Linked DNA regions of Caenorhabditis elegans. The protein of the gene in region 2 purifies or fractionates together with the protein of the main gene of each other region. This does not show direct contact. Each region holds a gene or a part of one and is shown on either strand. Other genes may lie near its edges.

Region 1 (5,576 bases), on a different chromosome or scaffold from region 2:
GAAACATGGAACACACAGGCACCGAAAATGAAGAGAAGAGGGGGAGCTTGAAGATTAATGGGCGGGGTTCAGGTTATGAAGGTCGAGGAAGAGAAAGGAGAAGGCGTCCATCGCAACAGCCAGCAACTGCAGCAGTCACTTCTGTTCACTACATATACGGTCAATATTCTAGTAGTGACCGGTGTCTTTCTAAAAATAATGTGGTCTCGAAATGTTGCACTGGTCTTCTGTCTCCTTGGTGGAGTTACCGCTATTGGAGAAAATGCGGTAAGTATCCCTTAAAACAACAAACTAGTCGAATTTTTCGGATTCAAATTCAATTTAATTAAATAAGATACAGAACATTGGAAATTATCTTTCTTTTGTTAAATGACATTTGTAATTTATGATATTTAGTAACTTACGTCAAGTTTTGAATATGTGTCAGCATAATATTAAAAATTGTAATTCAGATGGATTTCCAAGCCATTACTGGTATTCTTGGAGGAATTGGAAAAATGCTCGAAAGCAAAATTGACACCATCAATGTCCCTGCGGAGATGGTTATGGGAAAATGGTTCCAGATGTACAAGGCTGCTATGAACTTTGATGTTGTCCGCACCACAATGTTCTGCCCAGTTGCTTATTGTAAGTTTATCTTTCTAAAGTCTCAAAAACATGTTTTTGAACCTGTTCGAATCATAAACTAAGCTCAAATAACAAGTAACTTGCAGTCTCTCCTAATCCGATAATGGGTGAAGAAGGATTCTCGATGCAAGAAGCTTACAGAGTGGTTTCAAAAACTGGACCAATTGAGACTTACAAAAGAGACATGAACAAAGTTGGACCAGGACAATACTGGATGTACACTGAAGAGTACTTCTACCCAAGACAATGTGAGCGAAAAACATTTAATTTTGACTAAACTTGCTTTTCAGTTTACATTATCGGAGCTGGACCATCTTTCAATAATGGCACCAGAAATTCTACCGAGCCACTCCAATACTTGATTGCTTCTGATGCTAACCGACTTTCCCTCATGGTTTATGCTAGAGATCCTCTTGTATTTTTCCAGGTCAGTTGCGAAACATCAAGCGTTGCGGCGCGTGTTTTTTGTTTTTACTCTCCTGTAGGGCGCACTAGTGAGATTGATGAACACAGTGATTGACAGGAGGCGAGAATTGGGTTAGCTTATCAACATCGGTTGACCTTATTTTGAATTATTTCTCCGATTACAATCCGTGTCTATTGGATTATGGAATTTGGGATTCAGAAATCGGGAAAGAAAAAAAGCGAAAGTGACAATTGTCTGACATATTTGCAAACATAACATCATTTACAGAAGTACAACAAGGAGGTTGTTGAGTTCATGAATGGACACGGATTTGGAGGAAATGTCTTCTGGAACAGCCCAAAGCCAATTTACCAAGGACCAGACTGCGAATGGCCTTCTGAAAAGGAGGTCTTTGCCAGAAGGTAATGTAATTTACTCATGTAACAGACAGAAAATATAGTTTATTTTCAGAGTTTTGAAAAACCAAGAAATGAACGAGCGCAACAAGAATGGAACTTCAGACCCAATTCTTTCCGGAATGCCACTTGCCGACATGATCCGCGACCCAAAGCGTACTTTGGAAAGACTAGTTGGAACAAAAGCTTTGCAACAAGCCACCGCCGGAATCACAGCCGGTCCACCAGCCAGCCGTAGCGAGTGACCTCATTCTACCATTTTTCGCCATTTTTCCAGTACTTCTACCATTTTCTCTTAATAATCTCTTTCCAATTTCTTCACGCACTAATTATCAATCTGTGATCCTTTAATTATTGTCTACATGTATTAATAATAATATTAATAATGCAATTAATAAGACACGGTTCCGTGTTCCTTCCGTTGTATCTCATTGTCTTTTGAAAAAAGAAAAGTTAATTCAATAAATTTGTAAGTTCATTTTGAATCAGTGTTTTACAGTAGACTTACAGTAGTTTTGCAGTCGCTTACAGTACAATAGTATTGATATTGAAGGTTGTACAACGTTTACTTTCAGTTTATCCTCCTTTCCGTTTTACCGATTTTCGGCGTCATCCATTTGACAGTTTCACTCCCGAACTTCAAACTTCCGATAATAAGATTTTCGGGCCTGTGTACCGTATCAAAAGCAATTCGAAAATGTATGACTGTCTTTAGAGAAACATACACTTGCTGCAACTAGCAAGCGAAACGAGGACACGATTTGAGATTTGAGAAGATAAACTCGAAGAGGCGAGAGAAGAAAGAGAACACAGAGAGGAAAGAAATCGGCGAAGGAGGTTGGACAAAAGAGAAGCGAAAACACTGGACGGATGACCCCGGTTCATTCGACACACCTTCTACAACATCCACACTTTTATTCATTTCATCCATCGAGAATGCTCTCGATAGGCATCCTCTCTATTTGTCTTGTTGGCCTTGCCGGCGCCCAACTTGACGCTTTTGCTCTTCCATCAGCACAACGTTATGCTCCTAAACCAACAGTGCCACCAGAGTTTTCCAATTACTTTGAACTTGATGGGCATGCTCGCGAATTGGTGGACTCTCTGCTAGGACCCCGCCCAGGAGGCCTTTTCCCGGAAAAGACGTTCGAGATTGGAGCCCCACAAGGTCCAGTTCAAAATGGAAATCAGCCAACACACGTTGTTTCAAGCCTAGAGAAGACACTTGAGTCATTCTTCACTGCTCCAGAGCTTCCCGCTGGCCAAGCACTTCCACCAGGATTTGGGTCTGGGTTTTCCGTTGCAAACAACAATAAGGCATTGACTTCTTTCGGAGACATTCGTCGTTCGCCATCAGGCAAAAAGGAAAACCAGGAGGTAGAAGGATCCGGTGCTGTCGAAAACTCAATTGCAGGAATTCCAAATGTACGTAAATCATCTTTCTGTCAGTCCGTTTTAAAATTTGTATTTTAGGTATTCTTGAAGTTGGCAAAACAACCAACTGCTCTAGTTGACGCATTCAACAAGGCAGTTTCGGTTCCAAGAGACTCCAGCGGAAACCCAGTGTTTGAGACAGCACCAGTTGTCCCAGAAGGTGGATTCCTTCCAACTTCAGAAGTTCGTCGCTCTCCATCTTCAGTATCTGAAGTCTCGCACTCAATTGATTCTAAATCAGATGAACTTAATACAGAAGAGGTAAATTTTTTTCGCAGCGTTCTCGAACATTTATTTTTATCTTTTAGTATGGAGGTCTTTCCGAAGACTCAAACTCGTCTGGAGGTGGATTGATTGGAACTATTTTCAATCTTATCAAGCTCGGAGGAAAGAAAGCTAAGGAGAACGCCAAAAATGGGAACGGAACCGCTCCAGTAAGATTTCATATTCTTTTTAACCATCTTAATCGAGTTAATTTAGGAAAAGAACACTATCGGAAAGGCTGTATCCAACCTCCTTTCGGGAGAAAACAGTCCATTCCCAAAACCTGGTAGCAACATTCTGACTGATATGCTTTTCAAGACTCTTTCCAGTGGTTCACTCGAGTCCAATGGAACTGAAATTGAGAAGAGTGAAAATGGCTCAATTGTCCTTACCCCAGCTCAATCTGCCGCCATCAGCAGCAATCTTGAAATGATTCAAGATCTTATCATCAAGCCAAACTCTCCACTATGCACACAAAAACCAATCCCGGTTGAATTTGAACTCGATCCTCTTATGGGACAATGGTACCAAGTTATCTACTCTCCACCAGTATCTACTGGCCCTTGCAGCATGGTTTCTTACAAAAAACTTAGTGATAATGGAGAAGGTAACGTGCATTAATAGATTTTAATCAGTTTTAACTAGTTGTTTTTCAGCCACCGGATCAATCGTAGATGTCTATGAGTACACAACTGATGGAACTCCATATGGAAAGCCAATAATCTCTTCTGGATATGCCTTGGTGAAAGGAAAGGGAGAACTCATCTTCAGAACAAATTCCAACAAAGAAGATGTGACTGTGCACATTCTTAGCGTTGGACCATTGAATCATCAGGGAGAATATGAATATGTTGTCATGTCCACCAACTGCAACTATCCAGTCTATGTATTTGCAAGAGATACTAGCATTTTCAAGCAGGTATGAAAATTAATTAACAGTGATTATGTTGTGATAATTCAACTGATATTATTTTAGAAATACGAACCAGTTGTCAATGAGTTCCTGGACAAGAGCGGAATTGTGAATGGAATCTCTCGCCTGCTTAATGTTGTTGCTCCAGTCGACAACACTATGTGCATCTTCCCACCACATCTTTTCTACAACCAAGGAAGATAGTTTACTCGCCACCATCTTAATAATTTCTAATAACTCCTAATAATTTTTAATATGGTTTTTTTCCATCCATCATCCCGTTCTCATTGCCCTTTCTTCTCTTTCAACCCTCGGGTGATTACCTCATCTTTTTAAGTCTTAGTTTACAATCCAAAGCATTTTTCTTTAATTTTCATTTAGAAACTACACAAAAAATCAGGCCGTGGGCTCGTGCATTCCTTGTTGTATATAGAATTTCGAATAATTTATTCCTTTTTATAATTTCGGTTATATTTTTTCTACGTCTTTCACACTTGTCCTAATAATGTTGATAATATGCAGTTAATAAATTTTTTAAACTATCTATTTTTAACATTTCTTTAGTAATGAAGAAAGAAGTACAATTATTAAACGGATGCGCAATTCTTAACAAAAATGGCATCGTCGAAAAATCAGAGTTGATGTTTCTATAATTGATCATAAAGGATTAAATACAATTAATGAATATTCTCAATTTCTCGGCCCAGATCATTCTTACAACCATGTTATAAAATTATTCAGAAAAGTCATTTTTTAGAACTTAAAACTTTGGTTTACGAAAAATGCCGATTTTGACTTATTGAGAAAGGGGTTTCTTCTTATTTTCTTGTATCAATTTACTCATTTTTCAATTAGGTCAGGTCAAACTCTGGAACAGTGTTTGCCTGTCACATTTATCTTCATCATTCCTATTTCTGAGAGTATCTCTCTATCTCTATCAGAGTAATTCAATCCAGAGGATTAGAAAGGGGTACGGGGAAAAGCGAATATCGGTCAAGTGAAAGTGGTGACTGTCGCAATGATTCGCGGATACAGTCCAGTGAATCTTGCATGAAGAGACGCAAAAGAAGAAGCGAAAATTGGCACGTAACGAGAGTGAAAGCCTATCGACGCTGGACATTTTGAGGTCAACATATATCTCACCCGGACGATACAGCCCATTGAGAAAGCCCACACTTGGAAGTTCTAACGATGCAACGGCTGACGGCGGTTGTTTTCGCCTGCGTAATTGGAGGAGTTTTCCTCGCTGCACCAGATGCACCAACATTCGATAGCCTGCCCGCTGGAATCGACCCAACTGCAAAGGTAAACATTTTGTATTTTTTTCAGTTATTTGAGAGTGCTCAATTTCAGATTGGACCACCAGGAACTGACGACAAAGCTCTTGTGAAAGTTGGAGAGGTGGCTGAATCAATTTTGGATAAACTTGGATTCAGTACCAGAGATGAAAAGGATATTCGTCGTGCCCCAGTGCCAAGTTCTTTCTTTGGAGTGAGTATCTATGTAAATCTGCTGA
Region 2 (4,290 bases):
CAAATTTGAGATCTCTTTGCATTGATTCACGAAGACACTCGACGAGATCCTTCGAAATGGGATCGGACACTGAATGACGTTTGCATGCCATTTCTGTAAATTTATAAACTAGATTTTGAAGTGAGAATGACGAACATTGATTCACAAAAATTACTCGTGTTGAGAGGTAAATAGTAGAAACTACAAGTTTCAAAGTAAACCATCTAGATACACATAAATGTTATTTAAAAGTGAGATTATTGTTTCATTTATACAACGAAAAATCAAAAAGAAATACGTTAATTGATATATTGATGTACTTCATAATGATTCTGCGCAATTCTTTTTTACTGGCAGAGTAATAAACTGCTTACTTTCAGCTAGTTACATTTAATGGAATAATGTTAATTTCTAGCACTAAAAAATGTAATTTTTCCTTTCGAATCATATACCTAGTAGCGAACCGCAGTCTACAATATAAATGAATTGGAACAACTGGAACAACACTATAAATCGGTCACTTTTTACTCCACTTCCATTTTTTTCACAGGGCAGCGAGAGAAGAAAGAAACAGTAAGAGAAAAGTGGATGCGCCAGTCTCTTTACAAACATGAAAATATTTACTGAAATCTTCTCGGGTCACAAAAAATGATGACTGAATGAAATTGTGTAGTGTGTGCGAGTGGTAACCATGACAAATAATGTTCTCTGGGCGACATTGATCGACAATGAAAAGAAACAATGTATTTCTCTAGGAAACATAAAAACTCGAGTAACTTGACTCTGGAGAAGAGACGAAACTTTGTAACTCTAGATTTAATCTATGGTTCTTGACTTTTAGTTGACCGACTAGGATATTCTGGAACACATTTTTTTTGGATTTTATCTGGAAGATGAATTCTTCGAAGACTTAGTCTATCAGAGAAAAAACTAATTTCGTTTTCAGAAAACAAATCAAAAATCACTGAACTTGAAAGTTTATCAATTTGATTAACGTCTGATCAGTTTACCAAATTAACAAGAAGACAAAGAAAAAGAAGAATGAAAACTGTTCTTTGCAACTCCTAAATAACTATGCATTTTCAACCATAAATTCTGCCAATCGGGTTTCATTTGGAAAACGGAGCACACGAATGGCCACATTTATTTGTGTCTCTGCCGATCATTTTTTTAGAAGGTGAAAAGTGCAAACAAAATATGAGGAGAAAAAAACGGAAAATGCTGACAAAACTTCGGAGGTGACAAAGAAAGAAACGGATAAAAAAGGTGAGAAAAGAAAGGGCAGACAAATTAAATGGACAGAAAGACAATCGGGAAAGAATGTTGCCAATTTGGGAATATAATTAATTTTCAAGTATTTTTTTAAAGAGAAATTGAATATTTTCTGTTAAATTCAAATATTTAGAATGCTACATTCTAGCCAGTCTATTGTGGAAATCATGATAAGATTGTCTGAAAGATAATGGATTTTTCCAAAATGCTATTATATTACGTGGGCGAGCGTCTCCTCTATAAATAAAGAGCAATGGGAAACAAAACATGTAAACTAAAATGAACACCAAACACGAAAAAACCTTCCTCTTCCCGTCCACTATATTGATATTTAGGATCTGGTGTGACCCACAAGTGGGTGGTGCCATTCGTGATAAGGAAAATCGGTCGAAAAAATTCATCAGCAAAATACGCGGAAACAGTGAACAGTGAGCACACGTTGTGAAAAAGGTGAGAAAAGCAATTTTTAAATTGAGATAATTTTTATATATGAAAGCTTCAACGGAAAAGATACAAAATCGAGCAAAATAAGAAATTAGAATTTATAGATTATTCTTCAGCGTCCAAATTGATCTGATCTCCGAATTTGGCGTACAAAACCTTCTTGATTTGCTCCATGTCCGCTGAGATTGCATCCAACTCGGAGGTTTTCTCAGACAAAACCTTCTCTGCTGTTGTCTTCTTTCCTTCCAAATGCTCATTCAGACTATCCTGAAAACCAATCACTACTTTCGTGTAAACCAAACGTTAATTCTCAATTCAAATTAAAAAAAAAACTGCTCACCCCATTGAAATGAACGAAGCAGCTTCCAATTCTGCATGGAATTGATGCTGAATCCTCATCATCGAGCAACAAAATTTCATCACTTGCTTCATTGATATTGTCAATGAGTGTTTTAGCTTCTTTAACGTCTGCCTGAAATTAAAGAAGAGAAACTTTAATGTAAAATTTAAAAAAAAACGTACTTTTAACTGGGTTTGTGTTTGGTATGACCGAGCGAATTTATTGAGAAGCGCTTGGTCTTCAGCAGAAACTTTCGTGTGTTCCGGCATTCTAAATTATTTTTAATTCAAAGATTTAATTAAAGAAACAACGAAGAAACAACATTAAAAGATATTAAACAGAAAATTCTGGAGAGAGAAACATAAAAATAAGAAAACTCAGCCACGGCCGCACGAAATTCTAGTCCATGTTGCGTGTAGTCCTCGTGAACAATTTCTTCCACGCGTTGTTTTATCCTAATTTGTTTTGTTTTTAAGTCACTATCAGTTCAAATTTAAGGCTGATAAAAAATGGCAGCAGCTAAAATTTCAGAAATTCCAACTCTCTTTGAAAAATGTAAGCTTCAGGCGTTTCATAATTCTAAAATAGTACACAATTTTCAGTCAAGGTTGCCAAAAACGTTCTGGGCCGTATCAGTGTCTGGGATGGAGATATTACTAAACTTTCCGTCGACGCAATTGTCAATGCAGCAAACAGTCGATTAGCTGGAGGTGGTGGCGTTGATGGTGCAATTCATCGTGCAGCTGGACGGAAGCAACTACAGGAAGAATGCCAGCAATACAACGGATGTGCTGTCGGAGATGCTGTCATTACCTCTGGATGCAATATTAATCACATCAAAAGTAAGTATTTATAGCATTGTTTGATCGTATTTTATTGGAATTTTCAGAAATAATCCACACAGTTGGTCCACAAGTATATGGAAATGTCACAGATGAACGGCGTGAAAATCTTGTTGCATGTTACAGAACATCACTAGATATTGCTATCGAGAACGGGATGAAGAGTATTGTAAGTGTTTCATCTGAAAAATAACTGCAAATATTATATATTTTCAGGCCTTCTGTTGCATTTCTACTGGTGTGTACGGTTATCCAAATGACGATGCCGCTAAAACCGTCACCAATTTCCTGACCGAGTATCTTGAAAAGAATGATACAATTGAACGGATTGTACTTGTTACATTCCTTGACATTGACAACGAGCATTACAATAAGTATTTCGGTGATTATGCTGCATCAAAGGATCAAAGTATCGCCTAAAACTTTCTATTGCACATTTACTGTACATGACTATTTTTATTTTATGTTGACTCCATAATCTCACTATCAGATCGGTTTTGATCCGTAATGTTTACATTGTTTCCGGTGTTGATTGCTTCATAAACATGTCACATTTCACCTATGATTATTTGTGTTTTTCTCTCATTTTCCGATTTTCGGTGATTCATATTTCAGTTCTCATTTTTAAATTTTTTCTCAATCTTTGTTTTTCAGCAGAATGCGCTCAGCAATTGCGGCGCCCATCTTGTTCTTACTAGTATCATTTTTCGTCCAGGAATGTGAATCGGTCGGATTTGCTCCAGAGCTCTATTGTGGATTAGAAAACTGTTATGATGGTGAGTCAAAACTTTCATGAAGATCTGAAAACGTTAAAACTATAAATGCATTCATATTTACAGTACTCGAAGTCAATCGTGAGGAATTCGATAAGCAGAAGCTAGCTAAAGCATATAGAGCTCTGGCTAGGAAGCATCATCCAGATAGAGTCAAGAATAAGGAAGAGAAGCTTCTCGCCGAAGAACGTTTCCGAGTAATTGCCACTGCTTATGAAACACTTAAGGATGATGAAGCAAAAACTAATTACGACTATTATCTCGATCATCCTGATCAAAGGTATGACGCTCTGAATATGAACACTTAAATATTCTTTATTTAAGATTCTACAATTACTATCAATATTATCGTCTTCGCGCCGCTCCAAAAGTAGATCTTCGAATTGTCATTGTTGGAACTATTCTTATCATTTCACTCTTCCAATTCCTCTCTGCAAAACACAAGTTCTCAGAAGCAATCGAATATGCAACCGGTGTTGGAAAATTCCGCAATATGGCAATTAAAGATGGAATTGATAAAGGCGTAGGTCGATTTTTAAGCTTGCACTGTAATTAATATCTAGCTTTCAGTTGCTGGAAATGGATCGGAATGGAAAATTAAAAAAGAACAAAGGAGTTGACAATGATGAAGTTATCAAGC
Region 3 (5,163 bases), 8.6 Mb from region 2:
TTCAATTTGACCTAAAATTTGTAATGTTTCCCAATAAGGTGTAACCTTTATCACCTCGGCAATTTGACGAACCCTTTCGGCAAAACAAAAAAAAAGTTTTGGCACGCGGCACTTCCCACACAAACGCACATCCCACGCACGCCAATAATTTTCAGATCTATGATTTTTATGTTAAATTCAAAGTTAAAGAAGTGAAGAAGCGTTTTTAATTGTTTTTGTAGTATTTGAAAATTTTCTGTATCGACACTGGCGCCTAGAAAAAACCTTTGAATATTTCATGAATTCAACTTTGCGAAAATTACTCAGTTTTTTTTGTCTTCACAAGGTGTAACGACCCACAAAATCATCCGAGCTTAATCTTCTATTAAAATTCTTGAAAGTCAGATCAAAACGTTCCCCGAAAAATACTAAAATGAGTTTTCCTGCATACTGCTGCCGCCGCTCACATCTATCTTTCTGGCGACTGTGTCATTCAAGGCTTCTATGTCATTCAAACTACTGCCACAGTCATACCATGACAGAACTTTTTTGGATTTTTGTTTTCAAAGAATCTCTAGACCAAGAGCATTCTTTGAACTATAAAAACTTGTAAGATACTTGATGGGTTCCTCGAAAAAAAAAAAGTAAAAATCCCGCAGAATGCCGACTTGCGTGCCATCAAGAACGTGATCTCAAAAGTTCGGAAAGCCTGCAGCGATGCGGTTAGGGAAATTTTAAAAATTTTAAACGTTAATCTGGTCAGTATTTCATGGAGATCAAAATTTATACAAATTGATGTAATAACTCTCGCCACACGTGAAGTTACAGAGCTGCAAACGTGTTACCATACTTATGGCGCAGAAGAAAAATCAATCAACAATAACTTTATTTAGGATACACCTGCAAATATCCAAAACGATTTACGATCATAGTTTTTTCCCAAAAAAGTCTTTTCGAAAAATCCCTCAATCAAGGCGCCGGGTCTTTTTGAATACTCATTTAAGTACCAGTTCACCGGTCCGAAAAAGATAGTAGTGTTGCGCCGAATGATCAACACAAGTCCACATTCATCGCCGAACCGTTCGCAAAGCTTTTCCGCATAATCTCCTGGAGATTCTTCGAAGGATGCTCGATGCAACACCTCCACAGTCGTAGTAAGTACAGTGTACCGCATTTTCTATATTAGTCGCCACTACCATACTTTTATAATGTGTTTAACTGAAGACAATTAATGTTAATGTTAATGCAATATGAACTAATACGGAAAATACGGTATTTATTTAAAGAAAACACCATTAATTAATTTAAATCAATATTCAGCATTCATGACCTTCGTGAGTACGTGCGTGGTCTTCGCGAAACGTTCGGCGCCGAATGTGGCTTTGTGGGGATTATTCGAAAACATAGAAACATTCGCAAACGTTGGGTAAACTGTGACCCAGACGATTATCCCAGAGGACCCGGTGACTGTATTGAGAGATGTTTCAAGGGCAATGGTTCTGACTTTTTTTTTGGTAGTGGCGACTTTTTTCAGTACTGGTACGGTCAAAAGTTTGAGATAATTGCTGGTGTTCGATGAATATTTGTAGTTTTTATTCAAAACCGTTCCATTGTAATAAAAACTACGACATTTTATCTTTTTGCGATTTCTTTTTTTTTAAATAAATATTTTATCTAATACCTTCAAGGAAAACTAATGTATCTTTTACATGTTTTTTGTGAATAAATCTTTTCTTTCTTTTAAAATCTTTTAAAAAAATCAGAATTTATAGTTTAGTTCTTTAGTTCGGAACTCACTTACTATGCCAAAAATCGTGTTCCCTAAATGAGTCACTTGGTACTATTGACATATTTGAGTATTTTCAACACATAATTTTCTTTGACATTTTTGCCCTTTCCGAATTTTTATGAGGAAGACGCTAGCATTCCTGATAAAGAAAATGTCAGTATTCCTCATACTTAGTTCCACAAGAAAAATGGCATGCGTGTAATGTGTAGCACTAGAGTATAAAACAAGAACAGAGAAAAGAAAGATAAGACATCATTGCTTTTCTATTTGGAGACAGTTATATATTTCAAGATGGCTGGTAAGATTCTATTTTTAAAATAATATGAAATTGAATCGAATTCTCAATTTTCCAGCTGTAAACTACACGACGGGATTTATTTCGGTGGTCACTGGCTGCCTAGGAGTACATGGGGCTTATGCGTCCGCCGCAGTGGTTCCGCATTTAACTGCGATTTGTGCATGCGGTGCTATAGTTAGTGCATATGTTACGATGGCTGCATACAAAGATGACAAATCAACGGAGCTGATACTCAGCGAGCTCAAAACGCTCGACAAGAAGATTGGGGAACTGTCACATAAGATGGACGCGTTGTTCGGTGATCTTAAGTCATTTATAACAACGTCTCACTTTTACATGGTATGTTCGGAATAGATATTGGTTCAAAGTGTGGTTACGAAGCCTTCTGCGCAGGAAAAAAGTTAATCACGACCCTTTTTAACCTTCACCCTTTACCCTTACTCAAAATTTTGCAGAATGAGGTCGCTACAATCAAAACGTTGATGAAATACATGCAGGATACGATGAACAATCCTTGTAAATACACAAAAGAGCTATTTCGTGGCGCTGTGACGGATAATAAACCTTTGTGGATTGCAGAGGTAGGACTTATTAAGGAATCACAAGATTTCAATGTTAGACAGCTTCAAATTTCCAGCAAATGATTATAAAACTCGACCAGGAGGAAACGAATCCTCTCAAAATGGCAATGAACTGTGATCCTCTTCGACCAACGGAAACTTTTGAAAAATGGAGAAAAATAATCGACGGAGTGCTTGCCCAATGTGTAGGTACTCACTACATCCCTCACTAAATAAAGTGTATCATATTCAGCTGATTTTGGAGACGTACCAGAATGGAATGTTTTGCGATAAGAACATGATTGGACCGAGTCGTTTAAAGAAGCAAACCGAAGAATTACAACTGAAAATGAATAGATGGGCTGAAGAATACCGTCAAGATCACTCGTACTGGGACGATGGAGTCTTAAGTTTAATCCATAATGTGCAAGACAATAATGAGGGAAGTGAAAATATACGAAATATTTTGACTAAAGAATTGGGCAAGATCATGACAAAGTGAGTATTTTTGTAAATTGACAAGGGACATAAAAGGGTAATTGTGTATTATAACTTTACTTTTTTCAAATTAAATTATGACCGGGGTAGCAATTATTTTATCTGTTAAGTTATTTAAAACGTGAATAGTATTTCCATTATTAGGCTTACAAAGGAAGTATTCCAATTTAACCCCGGTCAATTTAGGCACTTTGAACTGGAAAGAAGTCGCTCTGAAAAATTTTCAATGCATTTTTCACGATTTTCGCAGCCCGTAAAATTCCTCCAAATGTTGATTTTTGCAGATTTCTGATGATTTCTAGGCTTTTGAGGGCCAACCAATTTTTTTCTGGAATTTTTTTAATTTGTGAAAAAATATAAAAGATTTTGGTCCCGAAAGACCAAAAAAGCCAAAAAATCTGCGTTTTCCGAAAATTTATTCAAAAAAAGACAGCCCTGCTGTGAACGTCAGTAATTTTTCTCACATCCACTTACAAATGTAACCATTTTTTGCACACCATATCGCAAACAGTCAGATTTCAAATTGATTTTCCAAAATATTTCAGCCACAAATTTTACGTGATCGTCTACGATTTCTGTGACGGTTCATCTGAGGAGTACCAATTCACTTCATACAGCTATTTCAAACGCAATTTTAAATCTTCTTTCAATCGAAACGGGTGCAATGCTTTTGTTTTACGAAGCCTCAGAACCCAAGATTGCAAAAGGCACGAGGAGAACCTTCAAAGAAAGCTGCAAGCTGCCCTTCCAATGGAATACGAGTTTGTATTTTGCGGCTTAATGGCATAACATTTGATCCAAACATTTTTTCAGCTACAGATTCAAATTGATTGATTATGCGGAAAAGCTTTGCAAACGGTTCGGCGATGAATGTGGACTTGTGTTGATCATTCGGCGCAACACTACTATCTTTTTCGGACCGGTGAACTGGTACTTAAATGAGTATTCAAAAAGACCCGGCGCCTTGATTGAGGGATTTTTCGAAAAGACTTTTTTGGGAAAAAACTATGATCGTAAATCGTTTTGGATATTTGCAGGTGTATCCTAAATAAAGTTATTGTTGATTGATTTTTCTTCTGCGCCATAAGTATGGTAACACGTTTGCAGCTCTGTAACTTCACGTGTGGCGAGAGTTATTACATCAATTTGTATAAATTTTGATCTCCATGAAATACTGACCAGATTAACGTTTAAAATTTTTAAAATTTCCCTAACCGCATCGCTGCAGGCTTTCCGAACTTTTGAGATCACGTTCTTGATGGCACGCAAGTCGGCATTCTGCGGGATTTTTACTTTTTTTTTTTCGAGGAACCCATCAAGTATCTTACAAGTTTTTATAGTTCAAAGAATGCTCTTGGTCTAGAGATTCTTTGAAAACAAAAATCCAAAAAAGTTCTGTCATGGTATGACTGTGGCAGTAGTTTGAATGACATAGAAGCCTTGAATGACACAGTCGCCAGAAAGATAGATGTGAGCGGCGGCAGCAGTATGCAGGAAAACTCATTTTAGTATTTTTCGGGGAACGTTTTGATCTGACTTTCAAGAATTTTAATAGAAGATTAAGCTCGGATGATTTTGTGGGTCGTTACACCTTGTGAAGACAAAAAAAACTGAGTAATTTTCGCAAAGTTGAATTCATGAAATATTCAAAGGTTTTTTCTAGGCGCCAGTGTCGATACAGAAAATTTTCAAATACTACAAAAACAATTAAAAACGCTTCTTCACTTCTTTAACTTTGAATTTAACATAAAAATCATAGATCTGAAAATTATTGGCGTGCGTGGGATGTGCGTTTGTGTGGGAAGTGCCGCGTGCCAAAACTTTTTTTTTGTTTTGCCGAAAGGGTTCGTCAAATTGCCGAGGTGATAAAGGTTACACCTTATTGGGAAACATTACAAATTTTAGGTCAAATTGAAGGAAATTTATTCAGCTATCAGTATTCTATAGAAAATTGTATGTATGAAGTGGCAGTCGCGCGAAAAGCTCATGTAAAAGAGCGCTTCACGTGTTACCATACTTTTGGCGCACCCTGTATATTG

What was found.
Region 1: the proteins of B0035.3 (region 2) and lpr-5 fractionate together in Caenorhabditis elegans (co-fractionation; one large-scale study listed by BioGRID). This does not show direct contact.
Region 3: the proteins of B0035.3 (region 2) and Y94H6A.2 fractionate together in Caenorhabditis elegans (co-fractionation; one large-scale study listed by BioGRID). This does not show direct contact.

Annotation. Positions count from the first base shown.
Region 1 is NC_003284.9:11,059,937-11,065,512, forward strand, and holds lpr-5 (Lipocalin domain-containing protein), read left to right. Parts: upstream 1-2,372; 5' UTR 2,373-2,385; coding exon 2,386-2,874; intron 2,875-2,922; coding exon 2,923-3,144; intron 3,145-3,191; coding exon 3,192-3,317; intron 3,318-3,363; coding exon 3,364-3,754; intron 3,755-3,803; coding exon 3,804-4,066; intron 4,067-4,123; coding exon 4,124-4,264; 3' UTR 4,265-4,603; downstream 4,604-5,576. Other genes in the region: lpr-6 (LiPocalin-Related protein), read left to right, coding at 58-267, 453-627, 714-875, 918-1,054, 1,322-1,455, 1,505-1,694; lpr-4 (Lipocalin domain-containing protein), read left to right, coding at 5,252-5,365, 5,414-5,551.
Region 2 is NC_003282.8:11,313,222-11,317,511, reverse strand, and holds B0035.3 (Macro domain-containing protein), read left to right. Parts: upstream 1-2,513; 5' UTR 2,514-2,544; coding exon 2,545-2,590; intron 2,591-2,637; coding exon 2,638-2,877; intron 2,878-2,924; coding exon 2,925-3,046; intron 3,047-3,093; coding exon 3,094-3,297; 3' UTR 3,298-3,434; downstream 3,435-4,290. Other genes in the region: gspd-1 (Glucose-6-phosphate 1-dehydrogenase), read right to left, coding at 1-91; pfd-4 (putative prefoldin subunit 4), read right to left, coding at 1,801-1,962, 2,036-2,167, 2,218-2,304; DnaJ homolog dnj-2, read left to right, coding at 3,536-3,653, 3,717-3,930, 3,975-4,173, 4,221-4,290.
Region 3 is NC_003282.8:2,728,233-2,733,395, forward strand, and holds Y94H6A.2 (DUF4781 domain-containing protein), read left to right. Parts: upstream 1-2,059; coding exon 2,060-2,066; intron 2,067-2,121; coding exon 2,122-2,405; intron 2,406-2,521; coding exon 2,522-2,647; intron 2,648-2,703; coding exon 2,704-2,832; intron 2,833-2,879; coding exon 2,880-3,124; intron 3,125-3,669; coding exon 3,670-3,885; intron 3,886-3,937; coding exon 3,938-4,172; 3' UTR 4,173-4,190; downstream 4,191-5,163.